Drosophila melanogaster: one gene and its partner. Changing the gene in region 1 together with any one later gene gives a genetic interaction. Each region holds a gene or a part of one and is shown in the gene's direction. Other genes may lie near its edges.

Evidence for each region.
Region 2: of ics (region 1) and stck, changing one suppresses a phenotype caused by changing the other (phenotypic suppression), as found in Drosophila melanogaster (2 studies listed by BioGRID).

What each region holds. Positions count from the first base shown.
Region 1 is NT_033779.5:13,638,923-13,644,452, reverse strand, and holds ics (icarus), read left to right. Parts: upstream 1-1,850; 5' UTR 1,851-2,433; intron 2,434-3,180; exon of another isoform or gene 3,181-3,182; 5' UTR 3,183-3,204; coding exon 3,205-3,343; intron 3,344-3,971; coding exon 3,972-4,593; intron 4,594-4,656; coding exon 4,657-4,747; 3' UTR 4,748-5,006; downstream 5,007-5,530.
Region 2 is NT_033777.3:8,356,636-8,360,480, forward strand, and holds stck (steamer duck), read left to right. Parts: upstream 1-1,692; 5' UTR 1,693-1,746; coding exon 1,747-1,769; intron 1,770-1,835; coding exon 1,836-1,955; intron 1,956-2,013; coding exon 2,014-2,319; intron 2,320-2,373; coding exon 2,374-2,515; intron 2,516-2,571; coding exon 2,572-2,830; intron 2,831-2,894; coding exon 2,895-3,091; 3' UTR 3,092-3,325; downstream 3,326-3,845. Other genes in the region: veneno, read right to left, coding at 3,460-3,611, 3,666-3,845.

The sequences.
Region 1 (5,530 bases):
ATCGATTATTTGCCGCTCCTACGCACATTCGCACATTGGCATGGATAACATTTAAACGAAGTAAACACTTAATGCGAATTTATGGCCGCCAAATGTCCAATTTGGAATTTAAGCGAGCTTGGCAATGAAGAATTTATGGTTTTTGGTCGCTATTGCGGTTAGAATTTTACATAGAAAATCGAACTGCAAAGTTCAATATAATTTTATGAAAGAATCGATTACCTAACAAAGGACACTTCTCAGGCTTTGATTTTGCTACACAATACAATACAATGCCTTAATTGCAATCATATATTAATATGAGTGGAACTGAGCATAAACTATGTATTTCCAAACATTTTGGCCACCATTTCAAAATTAGCACAATTTGCGCCGAGCTGCAAAAGTTTGTCAGCAGGAAAAAAAGGCAAACAAAAAGTTAATTAAAACAAAAATTACGGACAGTGGCCGGCGGTCGTTTGGTGGCGACTGTGCCGCAGCATTAGCAGTGCAGCCAAAAATGCAGCCGAAAAATCTGCGCGCCATCTAAAACAAAAATTAATTTTTGGGCCAGGGAAAGTTTTTATTTCCCTCCCATTGCTGTTGCTGTTGTTCTTGTTGTTGTTGTTGTTTGCTGGCCAGGCGAGAGTTTGCATTGTTTTGCATATTTTATACGGCGGAAGTGTATACGGCAAAGGCACTCGCCATCATGCCAACTACCCCAACCCAAAAAAAAAAAAAAAAAAGCGAAAAAAATGGTATGTGCAACACGCAAATTATGCAGGCGCATAAGACAAACTTTCTGTTTTGCGGATTCGACAACCGGCGGGATGAAAATTAATACGAAAGCCAAAAAACGGGGTTGCCCCCCCACCCACACAAACATCTAGTTCCTACGTATTTCTGAGATCCAAAACTGCATCGGCAACTGGAGCACCGCAGAGTAATTAAAAATACAGCCAATGGCCAGAGCAGAAAAACCCCGAGCAGCTTGTACTGAAGGAGATCATATCGGCCATGTTTGCAGCCCAGAAATCTGAGTCCCTTCAAAATTTGCATCTAGCATCCATCAAATAGATAAAATTGAAGAAATGTCTCAGCTTGCAGTTCTAATAAAAACTATTAAAAAAGAAAAGAAAATTAAACTAAAATGCATTAAAAAGGGTAAAAGCCAACATGACTATATTGAATTGATATTTTATTAAATGTGCTCTAAGCTCATTTCTTATTGCACTGCAGTTTTCAGTTTATAACGGTATAAAATTCTTAAGTGGCTAAGTAATAAGAAACAGACTTACTTTATTATTACTGTTTCTATATTGTTTTCTTTCGGTTCTAAGCGCTTAAAATAGCTTATATTGTCCCAGACTTTTTGAGATTCAGGCACACAGCAAATGGCTGCCGAATTGCAAACGCGATTTAAATGGGTAATGCCAGGACATGGCGATTGTTTTATAATGCAACGTCCCCACTTTCCACTTTTGCGCCTGCAAGCTTATTACAACGGTTAGCTTTATATTTACTATCCCAAGTCGTGTCCTTACTCACTAATATATCGAAGTTTACTTTCATGTGTATATGGTGTGAGCAGCAGAAGTAAGGCAAGAACGTAAAATATAGCGAAAAAAGTCATGATGTCTCACTTCACATGGAGATGTGATAAATCATATTAAAATCTTATATGCGTCAACGAGATGGCTGCATTTAAGATATTAATCAACTGTGTAATTAACTAATCAACAAAGCGCCTATTTCCAAGTCGACAAACCACAGATTTCATGCTTTAGTTATGCCTGTTTTTTGTCTTTTCGATATAATTCAAACTGGTTTCGACACTGTAGTGAAGATGCTGGAGAAAAAGCGAAATACTTTAAACAAAATCAACAAAACCCGGTATTGAGTTTGGGTTCGATTTGTTTTTTATTTTTTCCTGTCTGCCGGCAGTGGCGACAATCGAAAAAGGCAAAAACCAGCCCCCAGCTATTATTCGGATCCCCCATCACCTCCAACTCGCCCACATCCACATCGATCGATCTTGCTGACGCTGCGAGAGATCTTCTCAGTTTCTCGAGACGATCGGACGACGCACGACGCATTCCGCACTTTGGGTCTATTTTCGTGATTAATTTCGAAGAGCGGAGACGTATTCTAATAGGAACCCATGTTCCATTCTGTAACGTGAGTGCCATATAATCTGCAGAAATCAGTACGAATTCGTCCAGATACTCAACAATTTTACGCATACAGTATGAAAAGCCTTGGTGTTTTCCTACAAAAATAGGTCAAGTGCAGTGTTTGTGTAACATAGTGACCTAAAAAACGTTTAAATTCGTTTTCATGTGGATGAAAAGTGCTGAAAACTGACCGAAGAAAAACATATGCTAACAAAAAGTGCAGTTGGCGCAGTTTGAGAGCTACTGAAAGTGGCTGCCAAAACAGTTTTAGAATTACTCTGTAAGTAATTGTGGTTCATTACTTAGTTTTAGACCAACTACACGAAAAATATATAAAAATAAAAATAAATACATTTTACAACAATATTTTATATTTTAATTTAATACATAAATTAATACATAATTTAACATAATACATAATAATAATGTTAAGTCCTTTAAGACATTTGAATATTTCATTAATCGAGCAAAGTAAAAATAAACAAAATTATATCAATATTATTAAAGAATGCATGTTATTATAAATTCAATAAATAAAACACGTTACAATTAAGTTTTTACCAATCACAAGTAAACACACTTTCTACATGTAGATATGATAACATACATCGAACGCGCGTAAAATTTATGTTGGTACCTTTTTATCAACAATTGTTTGGTGAGCTTTGATTTCACATTCATATATAAGTAGATACAAATGAATAATGAACATCTTTTTTTTTAAATAATATAAATATAAATATTATTTAATAAATGAGCTCAATACTTATTATTCGATTAAGTCATTTACAATATCTTACATTGCTTCCTGTCGATGTAAAATTACATATTTCTACTTGTCTGGCAGCCCTGAAATACATATAACAGATATAATAGCTCACATTACAAAAAAATTGCTTACAAAATTTAAAAAAGCATAGAATTAGTTTGCCAAATTCTTTTACTATTCTGCTTTTAGAAATAAAAATTTATTGACTAACCTTCAAAATAATTAATTAGAAATGTATATTTTGTTCTGGTATTTTTTAGGGCGTATTAGGAATCAACGAAAATGAGTCAGTCTTGTATACCAGTGAGCGCAAAGATGTCGAAGGCAAAGAAGGTTTTGGATGAAGCCCGAGAAACTCACAATCCCGAGTTGGATTTGGCCGACAAGGGGCTGTCGTCCTTCGAGGAGTTGCCCGGACTGTGTAAGTATCAAAACCAAAGGATCTTGAAGGAATTATACGGATTTTTGCACTTCTGAGTAAACATAATGGTGGGTTACTTCCACGCAGAATGGAGCCTCGCCCAGCTGCTAAAAAAATTGTAAATTAATAATATTCTAGCGTATGTATTTATGTTGTGGTAATAATATTCATTTAAAATGAGTCTAAGCATCTTTTTAAATGGAGTCGCTTAGTTTTATTTATTGTGATGACGCCAGCAGCAAAATATGCATAAGTTTGAGTGTAGAGAACGTAAACAAACACTGTAAATACCGCAAATAAGATGTGTATACATATCTGGGAAATGTACTACAACTCCATAACTATGACTTCATTTACATAAAATTAGAATATACTACAATTATTAATCTTAAAACCATTAAATTTTTGAGAAAAAAAAAACATTGCGCATGCCTCTGCTTATATTGTTGTCCCGCTCCAACATTCGGCGTCTATACTTGTTGCCTGCAATCAGCTGTTTGCATTTAAACCCAGTGGTGAATTCACAGTGCATTGGACAATTATGAAAAACAATCTTTGATATCACGAAAAAGGAAAAATATGTATTTTAAAGAGTTTAGTATTCTTATTAATATAATTTTTTTTGCAGTCAACATGTCCAACATCACGCGCTTGACCCTGTCCCACAACAAGATCAGCGTAATCAGTCCGGGAATCGCGAACCTACTGAATCTGGAGATCCTGAACCTCTCGAACAACCAGCTGACCGAACTGCCCGTTTCGCTGTCGTCCATGCCAAAGCTACGCATCCTCAATGTGTCCATCAATCGGCTGATAAATCTTCCTCGCGGCTTTGGAGCCTTTCCGGTGCTGGAAGTGCTCGACCTGTCCTACAACAATCTCAACGAACAGGTCCTGCCTGGTAATTTCTTTGGTATGGAGACACTGCGTGCTCTGTATCTGGGCGACAATGACTTCGAGTATATACCGAAGGAGGTGGGTCAGCTGAAGAATCTGCAGATACTCGGATTGCGTGACAACGATCTTCTGGAATTGCCCCGCGAAGTTGGGGATTTGGTGCGACTGCGGGAGCTACATATTCAAAACAATAGGCTGCAGGTGCTGCCACCAGAGATCGCCCAGTTGGACCTACTGAGCAACAAGTCGGTCATGAAGATGGAGGAGAATCCCTGGGTCAATCCCATCGCCGAGCAATATCTGCTGGGCATTAGTCACGTCATCGACTACCTCAAAACGGAGACCTATAAGATGTGAGTGCACCATAGATCCATATATCCATAAATGTATATTCATCTGATCCTTTTCCTTGACAGCATCTACAACCGCCACTTGCAAGCAGGACGCAGTGGACCGCCGCCACCCAAAGCTGACAAAAGCAAGAAGGCCTCTCGAATTCGCGCATAGTGATTCTCCACCAGAAGATCCCAAGATCCCATGGAATTACAAATGTGTTCGTCTCGTTCGTTGTTAACCAAACCCGTTTTCGTATACTAATTTATAAGTACTTTTAAACTAATGCGTATTTCTGCAATGTGCCTTGACCCTTAGTTTCACTAATGAAAATAAAACAAAATAATAGATGCATATATGTATTCCTGCTGGTTTAATTTCGGATCCTATGCGCAAAAGAATCGTTAAATAAAGACACGCTTGTATATTTTATAAAATAGTAGGTTTTTCTTGTTTTTATTATCTTTTCTCATATTCATTCTTCTTTTTTAAGAAATTTGTTCATAATCATAATTAATTAGTTTACTTAAAGTCAATTAATTAATTCTTTATTTATTTTAATTAAATTAATAGTTAAATGTTTTTTGTTTTTGTTCTTTGTTTTCTATGTTTGAGAAAAACTAAAAGCATAGTTCTGCTTTGTTCGCTTTGAGTTTGTTTCGTTTCTTTGCATTTTTTCACTTGTCAATTTGAATTGAATACATTTTTTTTTTATCAATTTATGTTATTTAATTATTTTGTAAACGTATTTCGCCTTCACTGTATCTGCAATTCAAATTTAATTTATTCCTTAAAGTATATTTTAGTATTTATATTTATATATTTTTTATAGAGTTTATTTACAAGAGTTAAAGATGTTCTTTTACGAAAAGTCTGGCAGAAAAACAAACAAAAATGTAAATTCATTTATTCAGTAAATTTCTCCAAAATGATAGCACGGAAACGTCTTGTAAATTC
Region 2 (3,845 bases), on another chromosome or scaffold:
GCCTAAATTGGCATGCGAACCGGTCTTGTTTACAAACAAATAGTACGTGAAATTATAAGTAGAGGCAGTAAGCTGATAAGAGCGCGTTACGAAACTGTTTCGAAGAAGAACAGCAGTTGGCCAGCAGCTGATAAGAAGGTGAGACAAAGAAGCAAAAATGCCACGCTGCGATAAGCGTGGCGCCTTAAATCGTAAAGTTCTTTTAACTGATGTATTTCGGTAACATAGGCTAATAGCGAATTTAAATTGGCGCCCAGTAGTATTGGGTGTTTATCGATTGACATTCAGGGCTACCTGCCTCGAGAACAGAAGAGCTATCGATAGGCAGGTTGTACAGGGATTTTTTAGTGATAAAGTAGAGTGGTTTTTTCTGCGTCTTTTTCCACGGAAGCTGTTAGTTAAATGAAAAGTAATTTAATTGCAGCAAACTGTGGCTTTAATTAAAAAGGTTTCTCTGAAGGTAAAAAGTACTTTTTCCGTTGAATGCAATTCTTCAAATGTGAACATGCTTAAGTGAAACGCGTGAAATTCCAGAGATTTGCCCATTTTGGCAATATAGGTGTTGTTGTTTTTGTGCTGCGATAGCGCTGCGCAGATCGTCTTCTTGGCTGAAAATCAACCGGATCTGGCTAGAAGGCCGCCAAGCGAGCAGAGCTTAAAGCCAAAAGACACAGATTGATCATTTCTATATGTTTTTGCAGTGTTTCACTCGCCGTGATCAGAAAACGTTGTACACCAGGTGCAACAGGTGCCGTTGTTCGCAAGTGAAAACCAGTTGAAAGCAACTAAAAAAGAAAAGCCCACAGAATGCCGCCCGTGCAGTAAGCAGAATGTTCCGCCCCACTTTCTTAACGTCCTTGTCTTCAAAACGCCCACATATTGCATCATTTGGCAGCATAATAATCATCGTTATCCATTCGCACAAATAAGCATTTCGCTAATTAATAAAAAAATATAACTAATTCAGGCTAGCAGTGCCTATCATTCATGCCCTAATCCAGCGTTAACCCTCTGCCAGTGATGGTGGTGCTTTGGACCCCCATTCAATGCAATTTTCCTGCCAGATGTTTACTCCATCGATGACGTCATGGTCATATTCAAATTTATTTTTAAACGCCGCCACTCGAGTGTGTGTGTGTGTTTGTGCGAGAGTGCGTGTCTGTGTATTGTTTACTCTTCGTATTTTTGTGTGTATTCGTCGGATTTGATTATGATGAGTGGGCCGCTGTTGTGTTGGCGGCAAACCCAATTCCAATTGGATGCTTGAATTTGTAACCCCTTTTGGAGGCCAAGGAATGTTCAATGACTCAACCAGTAATGGGGAGTTGATAGTTACATCTTATTATATATATTGTTTATATACAAACTTTTCAAATGGCGCTCCTGCTTGTAATAATTACTTCAATTACTCATTATAGCCATTCATTGTTATCCAGCTTAAAGCGAATATGATAGTTCTTCGTATATATTTTATATATGTATATATAACCTGTTCCGAAACGATATATCACCAAGCCATCACATCTGCAGCGTATCACGCTTGATATCCAACTGCCATGCGACACTCTCTGTAATGAAAGCTAAACTTCCACGGAATGCCAGAAAGCTTTTTGGCTGTGCATTCGAAGGAAATATGATTCAGACATCGTCAACAGAGCCGGCAAGCGATAAGTCTCATTGTTTTGTCCAGTTTCTCATTTCACGCCCTGCCCTAAAGTCGTTTTTCTTTGCGCTCAAGCTATAACCATGATGTACTCTAAGGCTGAAGTGTAATGGCCTCTGAATTGGTTAGTTACTTACCAACAACTGATCCTGATCTTCTTCTTAATTCACAGAGTCCAGGCAGCGAACATGTCGCTGGGTGCCATGCATTGTACGCGATGTGCCGACGGCTTCGAGCCGACTGAGAAGATTGTTAACTCCAATGGAGAACTCTGGCACACCCAGTGCTTCGTGTAAGTAAACCTCAATGTAGTTGTTTCACTAATACCCTCACTAATAAACATTTTCTAGATGTGCCCAGTGCTTCCGACCCTTCCAGGATGGGATATTCTACGAGTTCGAGGGCCGTAAGTACTGTGAACGCGACTTTCACGTGCTCTTCGCTCCCTGCTGCAACAAGTGCGGCGAGTTCGTCATCGGACGGGTCATCAAGGCCATGTCAGCTAGCTGGCATCCACAGTGCTTCCGCTGCCAATTGTGCGCCAAGGAGCTGGCTGATTGCGGATTCATCAAGAACCAGAACCGCGCCTTGTGTCACGAGTGCAATGCCAAGGTGAAGGCGGAGATTACCGGCCGCTATGTATGCCAAAAATGCCAGTAGGTTTCAAAGGCTTTAGGTGAAAACATGTTGCTAATTACTCTGCTTTTCAGCGGCCTCATCGACGAGGAGCCTTTGCGATTCCGGGGCGAAGTGTACCACGGCTATCACTTCAGTTGCACGGCCTGCGGCACAGAGTTGGATTCCACTGCTCGGGAGGTCAAGAGCCGGCCAGGATTGGCTGCTAACGATATGGTGGGTTTTTTTTTCTTTAGCAAATAAGAAGCAACTGAATTATTATTCCATTATAGAACGAACTGTATTGTCTGCGTTGTCACGATAAAATGGGCATTCCCATATGTGGTGCCTGTCGTCGTCCGATTGAGGAGAGGGTGGTAACGGCGCTCGGAAAGCACTGGCATGTGGAACATTTCGTGTGCGCCAAGTGCGAGAAACCCTTCTTGGGTCACCGACACTACGAGAAGCGGGGATTGGCCTACTGCGAGACGCACTATCATCAGCTCTTTGGCAACCTGTGCTTCGTCTGCAACCAGGTTATTGGAGGCGATGGTGAGTAACTTAATTGAACTATATTCTGGGTTTATTTAATGCGCTCATTCCATAATGCCAACAGTTTTCACTGCCTTGAACAAGGCCTGGTGTGTGCACCACTTTGCGTGCTCCGTGTGCGACACGAAGATGACACAAAAATCGAAATTCTACGAGTACGACGAGAAGCCGGTGTGCAAAAAGTGCTATGACCGATTTCCAAACGAACTCAGACGACGTCTGCGCACCGCCCACGAGATGACAATGAAAAAGAACACCTAATGCCTTGGAGCGAGTCTCAGATCCACACCAAACAGTGCCTTTGTCGTTGTAGACCCGCTTTCACTACCATTTTTAACATTTGAGAAACTAAAACCAAACAAACTAAAACCTCTTGTGCATGTCCTTTCCGTCTGTTGTAATCCGGTTGTGTGTAACTTAAATTTTAAATCGAGAATCAACGGCATCAATAGCTAGGGAACATAACATTGTGTATTAAAAGCCTTTAACGTTGTTATTTAATGGAATTTTATTTATATATAAATGTTTTTAAAATTATAAAACGTAATGCTTATTCGCAATAACTTCGTAATGTGTTTGACCCGATTTAGTTGTGGTGTCAAGTAAATGGCATTTGATGCACTTAAAATTTACAAGCTCAACAGCTTCTGAATAAGACTTCCCGATTTAATTACGGCTATATGGTTGATATATTTGATACTATCAATATGAACTGACTGATGGACCTTCAAAACCTCAGCCAGATAGGAAACCTGTGCTGCATTCGGGTTGTGCGGGAATTCTATAAAGTGTTTGTTCAAATGTTATGCTCAAGACAAATGTTTAATATCCATACCGTCAATCACGCAAAGGTTTGTGGCACAGGGAGCGGTGAAGTCTAATGGATAGCGACGGATATCCATTTCGGTTATGTCCTCTACATTCGTGTAATCGAGGTACATTACCCGGTACTTTGTCTGCTGCCGTGGAACAACTATAATCTGTTCCACTTTGCCACGATACCAGGAACCCTCAA